Stegostoma tigrinum: one gene and its partner. The protein of the gene in region 2 purifies or fractionates together with the protein of the main gene of each other region. This does not show direct contact. Links are inferred from orthologs where the notes say so. Each region holds a gene or a part of one and is shown on either strand. Other genes may lie near its edges.

Region 1 (10,125 bases), on a different chromosome or scaffold from region 2:
ACTGTCTCATACTGTATGATCTGTCCCTGCCAGAGAATGTGGTAATGGCTTCCTGTGCTACTGTTGAAAACAGGAACAACTGTAAATTGCCAGATATTTACTTAGAATTAAAGGTAAAATTTTGAATGTGGCCAATTTATTGCACTTCTTTAGTCCTCAAAAGTAATTTATTCGAAATAAGGATTTTTCAAACTTAGGAATACGTATTTTACCAATTTCAAACAGACTGCAGTTTAAAACAGTACCATTTAAAGAACAATGATTCTTGTATTTAACAATTTTAAAATAATACATTGTAGCTGTAGACAGCCCCACTAAAGCAGCTTTTCTGAGTAATTGTCTGATTAACTGAACAGATTATCAACGTCACATCTACAACTTGGCTTTTGGTAGTACAGAACCTGAATACTGCTGAAGCAAATTATATTTAAAAAGGACAAATAATTTCATAACACAGGAAAATAATATTTAAAAGGGCAAATAACTCCATAACACACGTAGGTTAAACCATAGGACATCACTATGGTGTCAGCTTTGGTTCCGTGCCCAGCAAATAGCCGGTTCACATTAGACATGAGCACAAGTCCTAAGTGAACAAACTTAGTGCAATACTGAAAGAATGCCATATTGGTTGCAAGTGCTCAAATGAGGGGCCGTATGAACCATCCATTCACTGTCTCAGGTGGATACCAAACAAAGAGTATGGGGGCTCTCTCCAGTGTCTTTGCCAACAAACATATTCCACAACCAATGTCAAACTTAATCAATATCATTATTTACCATCATATAATCACTGTGTTCGGGACCTTGCAGCGTGCAATTTAACTGCCACATTCCTTTTAACAGTGGTTACACTTCAAAAATACTTCTAAGTGCTTTGAGCTGCAAGCAGTTGTTGCAAATTCATTTTTTGTTTCCAGTATATTTTTTTGTTTATTATTTTCATTTCTAGAAACTGTGCATTGCAAACACATATCAAAAGTAATTCGCCTTACTACATTTTATTGTGTGTAATGTGAAAATGTTTAAACAAAGAGTATATTCAGTTTCTGTGATCTATCAGAACAAGTTGGACTACTGTTACAAATCCGAAGTCTTGGTAAGATAGTCCAACATGTAATGAATTTTAAGAAAATAAAACTGAAGGAGTGAAGAGTCGTTATCTATGAATTCTGCCCAACAAGTCATGTGCCTTGGGTACCTCAGAGGCTGAAATGCACTGCCAAGGTTAACCTTAATGACAAAGGCAGAAGCAAAACAGTCTTCTTATTGCAAAGTTCGCCTAAAAAGACTTAGAGAGTGAGAGCATGAGTGAGAGAGAGTGCGCTCTGTTAGTTACCAGGCTAAATCATGAAAAACAGCTTGACCAGGGTCAAAGAAAACAAACCCGCAGTAACTAACAGGACACTGGAAGATTTACCCTTGTGAGGCTATGAGGAGAAATCACCCTTAGGCCTTAATGATAAAGGTTGGTTTGGAAATTCTCAAGAGTACAAAAAAAAAGGATTTCGGACAGTTGCTCCATGTTACATTGCAGTGAAATGGGAACATGTTGAAAGTTGGGAATAACTTTGAACTGTTTACTGAAACGACTGCAATTTTGCAGAAAGCATGCTGTAACTATATGGGTTGGAATTATTGGCCATATTTAAAAAAAGGAATAAGTTTTCTTTTCAGGAGATTAGAACATCAATTACCAACTTAGTAGTCAAAATCAATTTTTGTTTGGTTTGATAGCAAGGGTCAATAATAAGATTTTTATAGGAATTCATTTATTTATTGTGAAATGTCACCAAGGTGCTTCTCAACACGTTGGAAAACAAAACTTGACAGCATGCTACATAAGGACACATTAGGGCAGGTGATCGAAACTTGGTTAAGGCAGGCGGGATTTCATTAACACCTTTCTAATTATTACTCCAGATTTACAACTATGACTGTAAATCTTCCACAAGTTAAAGATCATGACTCTGAATTTACACCAATGCACTGAGTGCATACAACAGCACTACAGGCACTGAATTCAAATACAAAATATATTTCTATAGTTGGCGCATGCAAAAAGAAAGCAACCGTGGGAGCTGTCTTAATTCTTTCAGGTCATCATATCTAACAATGAAGAAGTGCTATTTCAATGAGCTGCAAATTGATATCAACAGCCAGAACCAATAAATCTAGACATGTTCAGAAATAAAAAGAAACTAAAATCAGATGTTAGAAAAATAATCATTCACATTGGGATTAGTTACAACCTACAATTCTTTGCCATAAATTAAACTAAAAGGGGACATGTTGGTTGAAAACAGACTTGGTCAGGACGGTGACACTATGTTAGAGTAGCATCAATGCATACTTTAAGATATAATGCCCTGTTTCTGCGTTCAACATGCCATGACTCTATGAAACAGCGGTCTCCGCATGTTTTAGTCGTTGCTGAAATAGATGTACTTCCCTGTGACTTAAAAGGCTGAAACTCTTTTTAAGTGTTCCATAATTCTGAGAAGTTTTAAAAAAAAACCCAGTTTTGGCATTTAGAATTCAAATGTAATCTTCCTATGCTGAATTCTGATCAGCTGAACAGCAAAGACTTTCTCATCAAGTTCAATTGTTCTTGCATAGCGGTGTTCTGATTAAAACAAATACCAATACTGCCACAAGTGCTTTTACTAGTGGAATACAACAGGACACAAAAATACAGGACAGGTGAAATTGAAATTGGCAGCTCACATCTACTGGAGAACATTGATCTTCATGTTGTATATTTATTAAGGTAGCGAGTTCATGATGAGTCCCACAAACAATGTTTATGCAGCATTAGTGTTGAAGCAATTAATAAAAAAAAAGTGTATGCTTGTGCAGGGAATGTCTGCAATCATTGGTTTATCTGTAAGTGCTCCTAGAGTTTATACAAATGAATTAGTGCTTTCTGGATTGACACGAATGATTCGAGATCCATTGCGGAGATCCTGGAGCTGCTTGGCTGGTGTTCCAACTCCTTCCTCAAACCGTCTCTCCACCACAGGGAGCACAGTCTCATACAGGAATGAAACATTCTCACGAATGAAGACTTTCTTTTCTGGGTCCTGCTCACAGCGCAGGCTGTAGTCAACATGCTGCACTGCCACCAGGATGATCTCACGCAGGCTTTCCAAAAGGACCATGTGCAGCTCAGGGAAGTATAGCTTCAGCCCTTCCTCCAAGAAGGCCATCAGCTGTTTTGTGAAGGCCACAATGGTGTAGCTGAGATTGACCCAGCAGTCATCTCCAGTGTACTGATCAAAATTGGTGATTCCACTGGCTTTCATCTCCTCCTTCAATTTTGCCAAGGCCTCCGGTGTCATCAAGTTCATTCTTCGCCACATCTCTTCTGAATTTCTGTGCTTGGTGGCCTCCATGATGATGCCCTTGTAGCTGTGCAGGGCTGCCTTAATATCTTTGACGAGCAGTGCCTGAAGAGTAAAGGTGAGGTCCAGGCCGATCTCACTGAGCTTGCTGCAGTGTTCTTTGGCCACCTCCACGCACTCAGCTGTGGTGGACAGGCTCTCCTTGCTGTCAAATACCTGCTTGCTGAAGGCATCCACAAACAGCCGGGTGGCTGAGCGTGACCACACCACAAAGGCCGAGTAACAGCCACTGTCACCAGCAAAATCCATCTCAAATTCCTTGGCCGTGTCCAGCAGGCCAGTGAAGAAGATGTTGCAGAGTTTGTGGATGTACAGCAGGGTAGCTCCCTCGATGCGCAGCTGCCTGATTGCTGTCTGCACTGCAGCTGCCCGGTTCTTCAGGAAGAGCTCGCAGGCTTTAGTGGACTGACCCAGCCGGATCAGCTGAGAAACAGCACGGCGGGTTGCCCGTGGACCACCTCGGAGCGAGCGGCCAGGGGATAGCTCATACATCAGCACATCAGTCAGACGGCGGACCCGCTGATCCACACGACTCCTCAGCTGGCGCACCGCGGGCTGGCTGGTTGCTCTACTCAGGTACTCGTTCAATTTGTCCAGTAAGTCAACAGCGCCTTCAAAGTCCCGCTGAGCAATACAGACATCCAGGTCTTCGGGCAGCTCTTGAATCCATTCCAGGCTCAGGTCCACCAACTCCATGGCTGGATCAGACTCATCCTCAAATGGGTTAGTTTTCGGTGACAGAGGCCTCTGTTGCTTCTCTTCCTCGGCCACCAGCAGCCGGGCCTTGGCTTCCTCTTTCTCCACCTCCAAGCGCTCAGTCAGGGCCTTGTTCTTCTTGGTTTGGTCCAGGATCTCCAGCCACTCCTTCTTGACCTTGGCGTTCTCGGCCTGGAAGACCCGCGTGTCGGGGAACATGAGGATCTTGAACATGTCCCGCATGGGCCCGTTGTCCTTGACATTGACCACGGCGAAGCTATCCAGTGGATACAGGGCGTCGTAGCGGTAGCGAACAGCCCCGCGGCGGCTGGGCAGCCAGGCAGCCACCAGCAGGCAGTCGTTCATCAGGAAAGCGTGCACCCTCTGGATCTGAGCTGCGCTCTCGGCATCGCACTCAAGCAGGTCACCGTTGTAGACCAGGTAGCGGCCCGGGGTTTGCAGGATGTCCTGGCAGCCTTCCACCTTCTCCAGCAGGGTGGTGAGGGTGCGCTGCTTGTGCTCCTCGGCCTCCCGGGGCAGGATAAGGAAGGCTTCGGAGGAGGAGGAGGTGGAGGTGGTGGTGGTGGTGGTGGTAGTTGTGGTGGAGGAGCCGAGAGAGGACGATGAGGTCCCGCCAGCCGTGCCCATGGAGGCTTGCAGCTGGCGGGATCCCTGTTGCTGCTGCTGTTCCCTGTCGGCGGTCAGCAGCATCTGGGTCAGGCCGTCCATGATCCCCTTCTGCTCGGTGAGGATGTGACTGAGCTGGTACATCTCACTCTCCAGGTAGGAGATCTCCCGGGCCGTCTCGATAAATTGCCGGTAGTTCTTGTAGACATTCTTCTTCAGGTTCTGTGCCGTCTCATCGGCCAGGCTCTGGATCTTGTGTCGGTGCTCCTGCAGGTCGCGGTCACCATCTGACTGCTGCGACAGCTGCTTCACGTACTGGGCCGGCTCGAAGCGGGGGGTTTCCAGCTGCCGCCGGAGCCTGGAGGCCACGTCCGCCGCCATCTTGCCGCCGCCGGTGGGAGGTTGATTTAGCCACCCCACCACAATATATACCGCCCTCGGGTTTTTCACAACTGCTCCCGTCCGGCCTCCACGCTCGGGGGCCCTGCTCTCTGCGTCAGGTCGCTCCTCCAAACGACTACCGAGGCCTGGGCTCCGCCGCTCATCTGCAGCCTCCAATTGGCTGGCCGTCAGCAACGACCCGCAGTCCCATTGGTCACACTGCGCCAATACTGACTTCTGACTGGTGCGCCGCCAGCAGTAATCCGCTCTCCTATTGGCCACGCTGTGGCGGTTCCGGCGTCCGATTGGTTGCCGTGCTCCCCGTGACCCGCAGTCCCATTCGTCGCTCTGACAGCTGTCTAGATCATGATTGGCTGTCTGTCTTTAATTGTGCGCTTGCATGAGGAAGAGTCACCGGAACTCTGATCTTTTTCTTCACAGATGACCAGACCTGCTGAGCTTTTTTTTGTGCTTGGCTGTTGATTTGCTTCTCCAATGCTGACTTTGCATTGGTTAACGTTGGTAGTCCCATTCTGATTTGTCATTGGGTGGCCCGTGGTATCATCCTGCGCTGCCATTGGCTGTTATGTTTGCGGCTCCATCATGTGATTCGCCAAGTAAAGGGAGAGGCCCTACCTCCGTTTGTCTACGTCAGTTGGGTGGTTGCAGGAGGCGGTGCTGAGCGGTATGGATGGTGATTTGTTGTTGGCGCTTCAGTTGCAGGCCTCCTGGGACGAGGAGGACCGTAGCGATGCCAGCTCGAGCCCTGGTATGGTCCCGCAGCCTCCGGCGTCTCTGTCCGTGGTGGACCCGGATTGGGAGCTGATCGACCCGAACCCCGACCTGCACGGCCTCTTCCTGCAGTTTAATGACTTGTATTTCTGGGGCCGGCTGTCCGGGGTGGAGGTTCGCTGGAGCCCGCGGATGACTCTGTGAGTTGTGGATAGGCCGCGGCTTCACCGCGGTTTGCTGAAAGGGGAGTCGGTGCTTCCCGCGATATCCCACTCCCCTGTCTCCTTGTTGAAGCCGGTCAACAAAACTTAGCGTCAATATCCAATCCAGAAGACTACGGCACAAATAATAGCTGACTCTGAGAACTGCAGATGCTGGAGTCGGAGATAAAACAGTGTGGAGCTGGAGGAGCACAGCAGGTCAGGCAACACCAGAAAAGCAGGGGCCGAAATGGCATCTTGCCTGCTCTTCTGATGCTGCAGTGCTCCTCCACCTCCACTCTGTTATCTCTACAAATAATAGCTGTACTTTTTTCTTGCATGTGCTGAAAAGACCTGCTCATTGAAGGAGGGAATCTGGAATCTTGAATCTCAATTTTTGCCATCTTTTCCTTTACAAAAAAATCGCTCTAAACAAAGTTGGATAGACTTGACAATGCACTTTTGACATCTGCATTAAATCTTCACTCTTGTTGATTGTTTGTGCTACTTGCTGTTTCTCATGCTGAATAAATTGAGCTTACCTACTGTGGATCTGTTACAGTTGTGCGGGTGTGTGCAGCTATGAGGGCAGAGGAGGATTGTGTTCTATACGTATCAGTGAACCTTTGCTGAAACTGCGACCCAGGCGAGACTTGGTTGAGGTATGTGCTGATTGTGTCAATACTGTGACCTCTGGTATTTCCTTCCTACAAGAAGTAGGCTGGTGTGCTGATAAAATTCTGATTTCACTTCAGACTTAACTTCAAACATTATTTGCAGCCTCTGTTCTGGCATTAAGTGTGCCTGGTCAATTGAGTCTACTCTACAAGTAGGCAGTTCAGCCTGTTAACATACTCTGTAATTTAGTTAGCCTGTGACTGTGTTCTCTTTGCAACACTTTTTTTTAGAAATTGTGGCTGGTGAATCTGTGGTCCTAACTGCACTGATCTCCCCCAGGTTAGGAATTTCTTCTGCAAGGATGCTTCTGTGGAACATGATCCTTTCTTCAGGATAGTGTTAATGATGGAAGGTCCATATACTTCCCACCCTCCTTGCATTGTAATAAGTTCAAGGCTGCTCCCTCTGTTGAAAGTTTTTATAGTTCTGAAATTCCAAGGGTATCAGGTTTGCATTACCTCAGAAATCACTGATGTAGTGACAGTAACGTGTTCTCTGCTAAGGTGGTAGATTTCCATATTGTAACTTCAGATAAATGACTGATGCAGAGGGACATCTGAAGAAAATGAATTTAAAAATCTATGAACGTAAACTATTTTTCTTGCTGTCTGGCTACTTGTCCCACATGTCCATTTATCCTATAAATTGACATTTTTGAGGATAACTGGTGGGGTTAAGCTGCACAGCTTCTGCTTAGCAAAAGCTTTTTTGATTTTGACTGAGGTGTCTGTCTAGCTTGTTTGAGCTGGCTGAAATGAAAATATTTTAGCGATGAAGCAAACTATGTATTTATTGGAAACACAAGCCAAAGGGCCACAGATGCTGGAAAGCCAAAACAGACTCTTGTTTACAATAATAACAAACCAGAAATTACAGTAGAAACTCAGCAGGTCTGGTAGTTTTGAAAGATGGGTCACTGGACTTGAAACTTTGATTCTGCTTTCTCTCCAGATGTCACTGGACCTATGTTTCTTCAAGTTGTTTGTGTTATTGAAAACACAAATCTGTTCAGATTTCCAGCATTTGCAGTTTTTATTTTTATTATATTTTTATTGGAGTTTGGGGATGAAAGTGATGCTTCCCTGTGCAAACATGAAAAGCCTGATAACTTGAAGAAAACTTCTTTTTAGTAACTCTACCATTTGTAGAGAGGATTTCTATCTTTTCTGCAATCCCTCAGTCATGCTGCTTATCCTTCCATAACCAGGAAGAGGTGCATCCCAGATAACTGGAATCACAGAAGCAACTAAATCAGTCTTAACCGGAAGTAATGAAAGTATCTTGCATCAAATCCTAGCTGAATTTCACTTGCTACACACAGTGGAGCACTCTGCTAGTGAAGAGGATAATTGTACAGGGTTTCAAACTTACAACAGGTCGGAGCAAAAAAGTGGTTACATTTGGAAAGGTAGTACGATGAATATTTAGCGAATTCAGTTGCAAGTATGCCTGGTGTAATCTCTGGGAGACTTCAAAAGCTGAAGTAGAACTCCCAGTCAGTAATAGTGAGGCAAATCTCAAATTTGGCCATGACTACTTTTTTGTTTGGACCTTAACTACTTTTAGTCTCAAAAACTATGGATTTTTAACTTGATAAAGTGGGGCATTTTTATTTTAAAGTGAGCATCTTTTATACCTCAGATGTACATACAGATTTCATGCAGTTTGAGCTTTTTAAATGGTTGTATTGGCATCCATTGAAGGCAGTTTGCATCAATATTGGTTTCTTTCCAGCTTGCTCCAGGCCAAATAACCATCTTAAATCCAAATTCCCTTGGAGCTTTTAGTATATCTTTTTTAACTGCAATCTCAGATAAAACCAGCAAGTCATATCCCTTAAGTAACAGGTTTACTGTATTATTGCAGTCTTAGCAATGTACAAGTAATCAGTTGAGGGTGCAAATGAGATGACTGTCTTAAGGTTGCATCATATTTAAGTAATTTAATTCATTCTGTAATTAAAGTATGTGTGCATACCCATTGCATTATGTTTCTATTACTCAGGTGTGTTTTTACACATTGAGGACCTCTCTTAATTAACTGGAATACTTGAACAATAGATACATCTTATTAAAGAGGTTGACCCCACCCCAGCCTCTGATAACTAACTGAAACCGAAACACCCTAGAGAAGATAGCCTCTCCTCCTCGTTTCTTAGAGCAAGTGTGAAAAGTGATAGTCTGCCTCTCACTGCCCAATCTGTTATAAAGGGGAGGTTAAATGAAATGAGGTCCTGACAGTCTCACTCTAGATCAGCAAGTAACAATTTAACTACTCGAACCATAAACAAATAAACATAACTACTTAGAAACTGAACAATTGTCCCCCCTGAACTAGAAACTATTCCAGGATAAGACAAAATTCTATTGGTATGCTATAGTAAATAGAAGTCCTACACTTATAAATCAAATTTAATTAAAAAGTACTTAATCTCTCAATTTACAACTAGAAATGTCTTCTGGAATGTCTAGTGCCTTCTCCACTGTCCTTCAGTCAGGCGTGCCTTTCCCTGTCAAATTCTTGCCAGGAATATTAGCTGGAAATGTCATAAGTTTAGTCACATGATGGTTTTAGAGAGCTTGGAGAATTCTGAAAGCCAGTGTTTTTTCTCCTCTTGGAGCTGCTGGTTGTTAACTTTGAACAGATGGCAGCTGCTCACATACCAGTTTTTCAAATGATCTTTTCTTGTATACCCTTGATGACCTCTTAATTTCTTACAAAAGGTTGTCAAAACCATCACATTTAAATTTAATTGGGTTTTGGTATCTAGGGCCTGGTTTAAATTAATTAGCTAAATTCAAAAACCTGTTGTTGGAGTAAAAATGCTGCTTTGTCTGCTGACAGTATAGCCTTTTTGGTACATTGTTTCAGTTTCAAATCTCTGCATCTGCTGCCTGGAGACTCTCTCTCCTTTTTTTAAAAAAGATCTTTAAGCCTAAAAAAACCCCAACTTTTAAAGGGACCATACTTCCTTTCTCCCTGCTCCCCCCACCCAAACAATATTTTACATCCGTGTCTACTGTTGCAAAGTTGGGTACACTCCTGGTCCATAAGTGCCAGTTAGCAAAAAAGTTGCATTTGTACATAGTCAATTTGCTGAGCATTTTCATAAATTTAATCACAACCTTTTGGTTTCCCAATAGACATTATTACATGAAATGATCCATGCCTTGCTGTTTGTCACAAATAATGACAAAGACCATGAGTCTCATGGCCCTGAGTTCTGCAAACACATGCGAAGGATCAACAGGATGAGTGGAGCCAATGTGACAGTAAGTACCAGAGGCAGGATTACATAAGAATGATGTCTGCCCCTGCAGGGCCCATTTATCACATGTAAGATCCTTGGTTTTTTTTGTTTTAAACGTATGGAGGAGCTAATGTGATACTTTGCAAGGAGGATTTTT
Region 2 (10,434 bases):
TACAGAGATATAAGGGCTGAGTGTCTGGAAGGTAGTACAGAGATAGAGCGGATTGAAAACAATTCATAAGTTTTAAACATTGAGGCTGCTTAACTGGGAGCCAATGTAGGCCATATGAATACTCAAAACATAAGCAGAAGGAAACCATATGGCCTGTCAAGTCTACTTCACATTCAACAAGATCATGACTCATCTGTTTGCTTAGAATTCCACATTCCCATCCAATCCTAAAGAACTGTCTGAAAAAAATTCAATAACTCCCCCACTGCTTTCTGAGTCAGAGTTTCACAACCTTCAGAAAAAAATTCTACTCCCAAGTTCTGTCCTGGAAGGATGAAGCCTAATTTTAAAATTGGCCCCTGGTTCTGAACTGACTCACGAAGGGAGACATGCTTTCCACTTCCACCTTTCAAGGCCATCAGGATCTTATGTATTTCAAACAAGTCACCCCTCTCCAACCAAACTAGTCTCATCAAACAACCCACTTACTGCAGTTATCAATCCAGTAAACCTCCTCTGAACCACCTTCAATTGTATCCTTCCTTGAATAAGGAGGCCAAAACAGCACACAGTACTTGAGATGTGGTCTCAAAACATTCTGTATAATTGAGGCAGAACATTGTCAATTTTATACTCAATTCCTCTCATCATGAAGGATAGCATTCCATTAGCCTTCTCGATTATGTGCTGTACCTGAAAACTTTGTGTAACTCCTAAGTCAGAACATCTATTTCCTTCTTTCAAACTGGCCAATGAGCAAAGGGCAGAATTGCCCAACGGGTTTCTCACCTCAAAATAGAACTATTTAGTTTCTCTGTTCTCCCGAGGGGGAGTTGATGTTTCTCATTTCAACACACGCAATTTGAGCACTGTGCCTGGTGCAGAAGGATCACAGTATCACAAAAGACAGATGCTGTTGTCTCCAAGAAACAATTGGTCAAAGCCTTGAGGGGCTTGCAGATGTGGATAACTGGGTTAAGTGTAGGTGTCTACTCTTACCTTCCAGCTGATCTTCTCTCACCACTGCTACCTTGTGACACTGGAATAAAGCAATATTGGAGTTAGTGGGTGATCAGCCAGCCAGTTAAACTCTCTATCCAAGGATAGACTACCAGGCCACATCTCAGCATCTCAAGCCCATACAACCAATTCTGCTTAAGAAAGCCTTTGTGATGATGTGATGCCAGTTGTAATCTTTGTCAGTGCTTATGTTGGAGGGTGCTGTTGTAACAGAGATCAGGAAGCAAGTCTCTCCCCAGCAAGCAGCATTGAGCCCAACTGTAGCAATCAAGTATGTCCTGGGTGAGATCAGCTAATTCAGTACAGATCAAGGCTGGAACCTGAGATTCTCTTACTGTATGTGACTGAGCGGCACACCAGAGATACATGCATCCCCGAAGCAAGCATGGGACCATATTTTAAAGAATGAGTAGAGTAATTAGGCTGATAAAGCTATAGATTATCATAAAAGGGGCTGAATAATTAGTTTAGTAATGAGAGGTGACCCCATTCAAATGTACAAGATCCTATGGGATTCTGACATTGAAAACTGAGAGGATATTTCAAATTGAGGGAAGAAAGTACTAGAATCTGGCAGCATCTGCGAGAGAGGAACAGAATTAATGTTTAGCGTGCAATGACTTTTCTTCAGAACCAATACTGCCAGATCTGCAGTTTCTTCAACACTTTGTTTAATTTCAGTTCTTCAATACTTTGCTTTTATTTCAAAATAAGGAACTTCTCATTTGAGGTGGATACATGAAACATTTCTTCTCTCAAAAGATAATTCGTCTTTGGAATTCTTTACGTCAGACAACAGTGGAGGCTGGATCATTGACTATATTCAGTGGTGAGTTAGGCAAATTTCAGACCAACAAGTAGTGTTAAGGTTAAGGGAGAGTGGTGGTGGTAGTCATGGTGGGGGAAATATGAAGGGGAGACATGCAGGAAAATGATGTTAAGGTTGTAATCATATCAATTGTCATCTTATTGAACGACTAAACTGCATTGACGGATCAATACTTTCCCCTTGCTCCTACTTCTGATAATCTAACTAAAGGATACATGGAGTGAGCAGAAAAGTGGGATTAGACTGGGAGCGGTCTTAAAGGATAGATGAGGTGAATGCGATTTGTTTGCGATGAAATCCACAAACTTGGTGGGCTATTTGCCCTTAGGCATTCCACAATAGAAAAGTGAGAGGATGTGAAAAAGTGGTCCTGACAATTCCTAATGTCGACTTTTCTGATGTCACTAATTGTTCCAAATAGACATACCGATATTCCATTTTCGACTGCTTTCCCTGACACGAGATACGTCACATGGAGCTGGGCTCCAGAATTTTCTTTCCGCTTTCGCTCCACGTAGTAATAAAGCATTCTGGGAAGCAGACAGAAGAGAAAATGACACAGTTAAAGGTACAAAACCTCTTGCAACAAAGCTAAACTGGTGAACAAGATCGGTCTCACAACCAGGCAGACAAACCTTGTTTTCAAAAGCAGTTGCTAAAAGATCCATACAAACTCCTTAATGGACCCTAGCAGAATCTCTCAGCAAAAGAGGGCTACTAAAGTTAGTAACAGGAAGATAGCCATGGGCAGCCAATACGTAGCAACAATTGAAATGGCACTAAATCTTGGGCGGCCGAGGAGTTAGCCCAGCTGCTCCACTGTGCCAGGAACCCTCAGGCAACTGTCTGTGTAGATTTTGCACATTCTCCCCATATCTGCATGCATGGCCTTCCTCTGGGTGATCCAGTTTCTTCCCAGAGTCCAAAGATGTGTGGGCTAGGTAGATTAGTCACGGGAAATACAGGGTTACAGGGATGAGGCAGGGGAATTGGGTATGGGTGGGTGTGAACTTGATGGGCCAATGGTCTACTTTCACACTGTAGGGATTCTATGAAACTCAAAATATCAGCTCCAGAATTCTCAATAACATCCATTTAAACTCGAGTGCATTTAAACTCGACTTTAACATAGAAAAACATTCCGGAGCATCTCACAACTATTAAATCTAAAACTTGGCACTCAGCCATGAAAGGAGACACAGATGAACAGAGACTTGGTAAACAGGGAGGTCATGTGGAATAGAAACTGAAAGTGCTGGAAAACCTCAGCGGGTCTTGAAGCATCAAGACAGGCTGGGATTATATTTACTGGCATTTTCTCACAGAAATCTATAAAATTATAAGCGGATTGGACTGGGAAAATGCTGGGAACTGGGAAGGATTTCCCAATGAGGAAAATGTCCAAAACCAGCAGTGGCAATCTAAGGATATGGGGACTGAGTTGAGGAGAAACTTCTACACCCAGAGATTGGTGAGTCTGTGGAATTCTCTGACACGGAAGTCAGTTGAGGCCAAAACATTAAATGCTTTCAAGAACGAAATTAGATATAGTTCTCAGGACTAAAGGGATCAAAGGGTACACAGGCAAAGTAGGAACAGCGTACTAAAACAGATGGTCAGCAATGATTATACCTAGTAGCCAAATAGCCTATGCCTGCTCTTATAATATTATCTTACCTTCTATTATACAAGACCACAATATAAATGCAAGCTTTTTCTTACAAATGATATTCAAATATTAGAAAATTTAACGTCAGATTTTACAAGTGTGACACACATCCTTCAAACTGTGACACATATGTCCACAACATGCATACCATTCCAATTTATGTCAGATGAAAAGAAAGAACTACGGTTGACCTATTATCTGATCTGTTCCTACCTGAGGCTATCAAGACCTATTGCAACATGTTTTACAACAATAAGGATGCCAGATAGCAAAATGCTAATGAAGCACACACAACTGTTATACCCACAATCTCTTCACATTTGGCCCATTCCCTCCACTCCTCACCGCAGATGTGGGTGACACAGGGATCCCTCTCCAGGAAATCTGACTGTGAGAAGTGGTTCTGTTGCATACTATTTGATGGTGGAATGTGACGCAAGGTGTCTCACAAATCATTGAACTTACTGTTTTGCCTGGTTGACATGAATGCCCAGGAACTGGCTCAGCATCTTGTAGGTGACCTGAAAAACAAAATCCAACTAGAAAAACAGGTACAGCAGCAAGACAAGAAATTACATTTCAAATGGGGTGTATATCCATTCCGTACCAAGGACATATGTTCCTATTACTCCAACATATTTCCCTGCAACTGCTCTCTTTAGTATATATTCAACCCCACATTGGGGGAATATCCCCCATCTGCGGTGTATATTCCCCGCCGCACCAACACCATTCCCCCCATGTATTCCCTCACACTTCCAACCCCCAATCCTGGGCATACATTCTCCCATTCATGTACCCACCCACCCCGGGTATATATATTCCCCCTTACACGCCCCCCCCGGCATCCCGGACGCGCGCGCGCGCACACATATTCCGGGTGTGTATTCGGACCCCGTCCCTCTCTCCCGGGTGTATAATCCCTCACACCCTGCCCCCGCTCACGATCCGGTTCTCATCCGCCACCAGCTCCTCGATATTCTCCAACAGCAGCTCAAGCTCCTCCATCATCGCGGCCGAAGCGGGAAAGCGAGGAGGGGTGAGAGGTCACGGGGCGGGGTCTACGGCGGGCGGAGCCTGCGCGTGCGGGGCGGTGGAAACCTCGGGGTCAAGGGTCATCGGCTGGCAGGAGCCTGTTTCCCCGGCAACCAGGCCGGTCGCCCGGACCCCTGAAAAGAAATCACCGTACAATAAAATCATTGTTTTTTTTTTACTGAAGGGCGTTTCATGGGGATTGCAAAACATGAACCAACGAGGGGGCAAATGAGTATAAAGTATTTTACTGCCGAAGGATTGCGGTGGGGTTAAAGGTTACAAAGATGGCGACGCTGCAGGTTTGAGCTGGTGACATTCATCTGAATTGGTAAGGAATGTTTGAATTTTCAAAACTCGGTTCAAGCTCAATTTATTTAAGAGCCTATGAAATTAGAATGCATTGCGGTATAAAGGATCCCCGTTTTCCGATGAAGGGTCTAGGCCCGAAACGTCAGCTTTTGTGCTCCTGAGATGCTGCTTGGCCTGCTGTGTTCATCCAGCCTCACATTTTGTTGTTGAATTTCACTATCTGCCTGAAGGTTTTGTGATGATTAGAAACCCAGTACAGAGTCTCACTGTTTATAAACTTGTAATAGTCAATGTTGGGTCACATCGATAGATGGGAGAGGTTGGGACTGTTTTCCTTGAAGCAGATCAGGTCAGAGGAGATTTGATTGAGGTGTTCGAACTGATGAGAGGTGCCGACTAACTTTCCTTTGAACACTGCCCAGAACCTCTCCCATAGATCGTCAGGCTGTTGCATGATTTCTGCTTTTGGAAGCCCCTGAAGATAACCGACCTCCGACGTCCGTGCAGAAGGAGGGGAGGAAAAGAAAATAAAAACAACTTTGGTCTGTATGGAGTAGGTAGGAGTTCCCACAGGTGAAAAGACCAAGAACACGAGTACAAAGATTTAACAGAATTGGCTATAGAAGAAACCGAGGCGTGAGGGGAAAAACGCATCCTCCCAAAGCAAGGGATTAAGATCTGGAATATACTGCCTGAAAATGTCGTGAGGATAGGTTTTAATGGTAATTGGATAATCTGAAAAAAGAAACATTTGCAGAGCTACAGGAAAAAGCAGGGTAGTAGCACTAGCCAAAATGCTTCTGAAGAGAGCTAGCATGGTATTTTGTGATCAGAGATAATGGGAACTGCAGATGTTGGAGAATCCAAGATAACAAAGCGTGAAGCTGGATGAACACAGCAGCTTGGCCTGCTGCATTCATCCAGCTTCACACTTTGTTATCTCAGAATGGTACTTTACTATGCTGTGACCATTCTTTGATTTTGAAATATCCCAAGGTGGTCCCCAAGTGGTGATGAAACAAAAAATATCAAAGAACTGTGGATGTTGGAAATTGGGCACAAAATTGCTGGAAAAAGTCAGTATGTTGGGCATCATATATGCAGAGAAAACAGGATTAATATTTCCAGTCCAGTGGCACTTTTACCCCAAGTAGCGATAAAACAAAATTTAATAAAGTCACAGAGATAGATGTATAGCAGGAAACCAATCCTTTAGTCCAACTTGTTCGTACCAATCAGACATCCTAAATTCATCTAGTCCCATTTGCTAGTATTTGGTCTGTATCCCTCTTAAACCCTTCCTATTCCTACACCCATCCAGATGCTTTTCATATGTTAGAAATCACACAATACCAGGTTATAGTTCAACAGGTTTGTTTGAAACCATAAGCTTTTGCAGCACTGCTCCTTCATCAGGGCTTTACCTGACAAAGGGGCAGCAGTCGGAAAGCTTGTAATTTCAGATAAACCTGTTGGACTATAACCTGGTGTTTTGTGATTTCTGACTTTGTCCACCCCAGTCCAACACATGCCACATCATGGTTTTTAAATGTTGCAATTGTACCAGCCTCCTCCACTTCCTCTGACAATTCATTCCATGCACTCCCCACCCTCTGTATGAAAGAAGTTGATCCTTGGGTCTGTTTTAAATCTTTCCCCTCTAACCTTAAATCTATGCCCTGGAGAAAAGACCTTGACTATTCACCTTGTCCGTGGTCGTTCTGACCTTCTATCTGGTCACCCATCAGCCTTTGCCAGGGAAAATATCCCTAGCCAATTGAACCTTTCGATAAAGCTCAAATCCTCAAATGTAGCAACATGCTTGTAAATCTTTTCTGAACCCTTTCAAGTTTCACAACATCTTTCTGATAGGAAGAACAGAATATGACCTCCCAACTCCAAAATTTAATGTGCTAACCAACAAGGGAGACTTGGGCCAGGTGACACAATGGCATTGATGTGATTTTCCTGAGGTTCATACTGAGTCCCCTTAGGTTGTATGTCCAATGTAATGTGTTTGGGTCATGAATTGCTCCTCCACTTAAGTAACAATGTTCGATGGAGAGTGCAGGAGGGCTCCAAGCAGCATCACTGAGCAAATCTTAAAATGAGGTGAAAACCTGATGAAGCTATAACGCAGGACTATTTGTGTGCCAAATGACAAGTATTAGGCAGCACTAGGATTACACAACTAACCGATCAGAACTAAGGGTCTGAAGACTCTGGATTCGGGCATCAGCAGTCCTTATTGTCTCCAGGTCAGAACTAAACTTTGCAATCCTGCCAAATCCAGTTGTGAACAGTAATGGTCAGTAAGTGAATCATTGGAGGAAAAGGCTTCAGAAATATCCCATCATCAAGGATGAGGAGCCTAGCACATCATTTCAAAAGACAAGGCTGAAATATTTGCATCCATCTTCAATCCAAAGGGCTGAATAGATGATCCATCTCAGCCTGTGAAGGTTCCCTATTTTCAATCAATTTGATTCACTTCACTTCATGATTTTAAGAAACAGTTGAAGTTAATGGATAGTGCAAAGTCAATGGGTCCTGGCAACGTTCCAGCAAAGGTCATGAACAGTTGTGCTCCAAAATTTGAAAAGCTACAAATTTACTGAGCCAAGTGTTCTATTGTAGCCACAACATTGGCGTCTACCCAAAAATGTGGCAGATTTTCTAGGAGTGCAGGTTACTATTCCATGAAAATTGAGTTGCAGTTAGATAGATGGGGTAATGAATGTATTTGGTATGCTTACATTTATTGGTCGATGCACTGAGTATAGGAGTTGGAAGATCATGTTGCAGACATACAGGATGTTGGTAAGGCCACTATTGGAATGCTACATGCAATTCTGTTCTCCCTGCTTTAGGAAGAATGTTGTGAAACTTGAAAGGGTTCAGAAAAGATTTACAAGGATGCTGCCAGGGTTGGACGGCTTGAGCTATAGGGTAGGGCTGAATAGACTGGGGCTGCTTTGCCTGGAGCGTCGCAAGCTGAGAGATAACCTTATGGAGGTTTATAAAATTGAGGGGCATGGATAGGATAAATAGACAAGGCCTTTAACCTGGAGTGGGGAAGCCAAAACTAGAAGGCATATGTTTAAGTGAGAGGGGAAAGATTTAAAAGGACTTAAGGGGCAACTTTTTCACAGTGCATGTTTGGAATGATCTGGCAAAGAAAGTGGTGGAGGCTGGTACAGTTACAACATTGAAAAAGCATCTGGAAGGGTTGAGAGGGACATAGACCAAATGCTGGCAAATAGGACTAGATTTATTTAGGATATCTAGTCAGCATAGATGAGTTGGACCATTGGGTTTCTGTGCTATACAACTCGATGACTAACTCTATGAATCTGAAGTATTTTCTGTGCACCAAAAAACAGTACAAATGTATAAGACCGTAAGATATAGGAGTGGAAGTAAGGCCATTCGGCCCATCAAATCCACTCTGCCATTTAAATCATGGCTGATGGGCATTTCAATGGAACGGAAACAACTTCCTAACGTCCACCCCTTCTAAGCCATACATTATCTTGTAAGTTTCTATTAGATCTTCCCTCAACCTTCTAAACTCTAATGAGTACAATCCCAGGATCCTTAGCCGTTCATCATACGCTAAACCTACCATTCCAGGGATCATCCGTGTGAATCTCTGCTGGACACACTCCAGGGCTAGTATGTCCTTCCTGAGGTGTGGGGCCCAAAATTGGACACAGTATTCTAAATGGGGCCTAACTAGAGCTTTATCAAGCCTCAGAAGCCCATCGCTGCTTTTATATTCCAACCCTCTTGAGATAAACGACAACATTACATTCGCTTTCTTAATTACGGACTCTACCTGCAAGTTAACCTTTAGAGAATCCTGGACCAACACTCCCAGATCCCTTTGTACTTTTGCTTTACGAATTTTCTCACCATTTAGAAAATAGTCCATGCCTGTATTCTTTTTTCCAAAATGCAAAACCTCACATTTACTCACATTGAATTTCATCAGCCATTTCCTGGACCACGTTCCTAAACTGTCTAAATCTTTCTGCAGCTTCCCCACCTCCTCAGTACTTGGCTAATTCCCACCCCATCAGTCTGCTCACAATCATCAACAAAGTGATGGAACAGTATCATTTGTTACCACAAACAAGGTCATTCTTGCAGAACCAAGGTCACTATCTTCCTGATAATAAAATGTGAGGCTGGATGAACACAGCAGGCCAAGCAGCATCTCAGGAGCACAAAAGCTGACGTTTCAGGCCTAGATCCTTCATCAGAGAGGGGGATGGGGTGAGGGGTCTGGAATAAATAGGGAGAGAGGGGAAGGCGGACTGATGATGGAGACAAAAGAAGATAGGTAGAGAGGAGAGTATAGGTGGGGAGGTAGGGAGGGGATAGGTCAGTCCAGGGAAGACGGACAGGTCAAGGAGGTGGGATGAGGTTAGTAGGTAGGAGACGGAGGTGTGGCTTGGGGTGGGAGGAAGGGATGGGTGAGAGGAAGAACAGGTTAGGGAGGCAGAGACAGGCTGGGCTGGTTTTGGGATGCAGTGGGGGGAGGGGACGAACTGGGCTGGTTTTGGGATGTGGTGGGGGACGGGGAGATTTTGAAGCATGTTTGTTAGTGAGCAAAGGGACTTGGGAGTCCTAGCTCAGAAATATTTTGCAGTCAGGAAGGCAAATGCCATGTTAGCATTCATTTCAAGAGGGCTAGAATAAAGAGCAGAGACGATCTGCTGAGGCTGTATAAGATTGTGATTGGACCGCAGTTGGAAAATTGTGAGCTGTTTTGTCCCTGTATGTGAGGAACGATGTGTTAGTGTTGGAGGGGATCCAGAGAAGGTTTTTATAAGAAAATTACAGCACAGTACAGGCCCTTCGGCCCTCAATGTTGTGCCGACCTGTCATACTGATCTCAAGCCCATCTAACGTACACTATTCCAAGTACGTCCATATGCTTGTCCAATGATGGCTTAAATGTACTTCAAGTTGGCAAATCTACTACCGTTGCCGGCAAAGTGTTCCATTCCCTTACTACTCTGAGGAAAGAAACTACCTCTGACATCTGTCCTATATCTTTCACCTCTCAATTTAAAGCTATGCCCCCTCGTGCTTGCTGTCACCATCCTAGGAAAAAGGCTCTCCCTATCCACCCTATCTAACCCTCTGATTATTTTATATGTTTCAATTAAGTCACCTCTCAACCTTCTTCTCTCTAATGAAAACAGCCTGAAGTCCCCCAGCCTTTCCTCGTAAGACCTTCCCTCCATACCAGGCAACATCCTAGTAAATCTCCTCTGCACCCTTTCCAAAGCTTCCACATCCTCCTTATAATGCGGTGACCAGAACTGTACACGATACTCCAAGTGCGGCCGCACCAGAATTTTGTACGGCTGCAGCATAAGCTCTTGGTTCCGGAACTTGATCCCTTTATTAATAAAAGCTAAAACACTGTATGCCTTCTTAACAGCCCTGTCAACCTGGGTGGCAACTTTCGAGGATCTGTGTACATGGACACTGAGATCACTCTGCTCATCTACACTGCCAAGAATCTTACCATTAGCCCTGTACTTTGCCTTCCGGTTAC

The links.
Region 1: the proteins of pold3 (region 2) and sprtn purify together in Homo sapiens (affinity purification with mass spectrometry; 3 studies listed by BioGRID, with this or other methods). This does not show direct contact. The link is inferred for Stegostoma tigrinum from reciprocal best matches to the Homo sapiens genes POLD3 and SPRTN.

What each region holds. Positions count from the first base shown.
Region 1 is NC_081357.1:94,379,055-94,389,179, forward strand, and holds the start of sprtn (DNA-dependent metalloprotease SPRTN), read left to right. Parts: upstream 1-5,753; 5' UTR 5,754-5,795; coding exon 5,796-6,040; intron 6,041-6,602; coding exon 6,603-6,702; intron 6,703-9,861; coding exon 9,862-9,990; intron 9,991-10,125. Other genes in the region: exoc8 (exocyst complex component 8), read right to left, coding at 2,904-5,108. UniProt on the Homo sapiens protein: DNA-dependent metalloendopeptidase that mediates the proteolytic cleavage of covalent DNA-protein cross-links (DPCs) during DNA synthesis, thereby playing a key role in maintaining genomic integrity.
Region 2 is NC_081359.1:111,413,777-111,424,210, forward strand, and holds the start of pold3 (DNA polymerase delta subunit 3), read right to left. Parts: upstream 4,560-10,434; 5' UTR 4,530-4,559; coding exon 4,449-4,529; intron 4,040-4,448; coding exon 3,984-4,039; intron 2,380-3,983; coding exon 2,277-2,379; intron 1,040-2,276; coding exon 1,000-1,039; intron 1-999. UniProt on the Homo sapiens protein: Accessory component of both the DNA polymerase delta complex and the DNA polymerase zeta complex.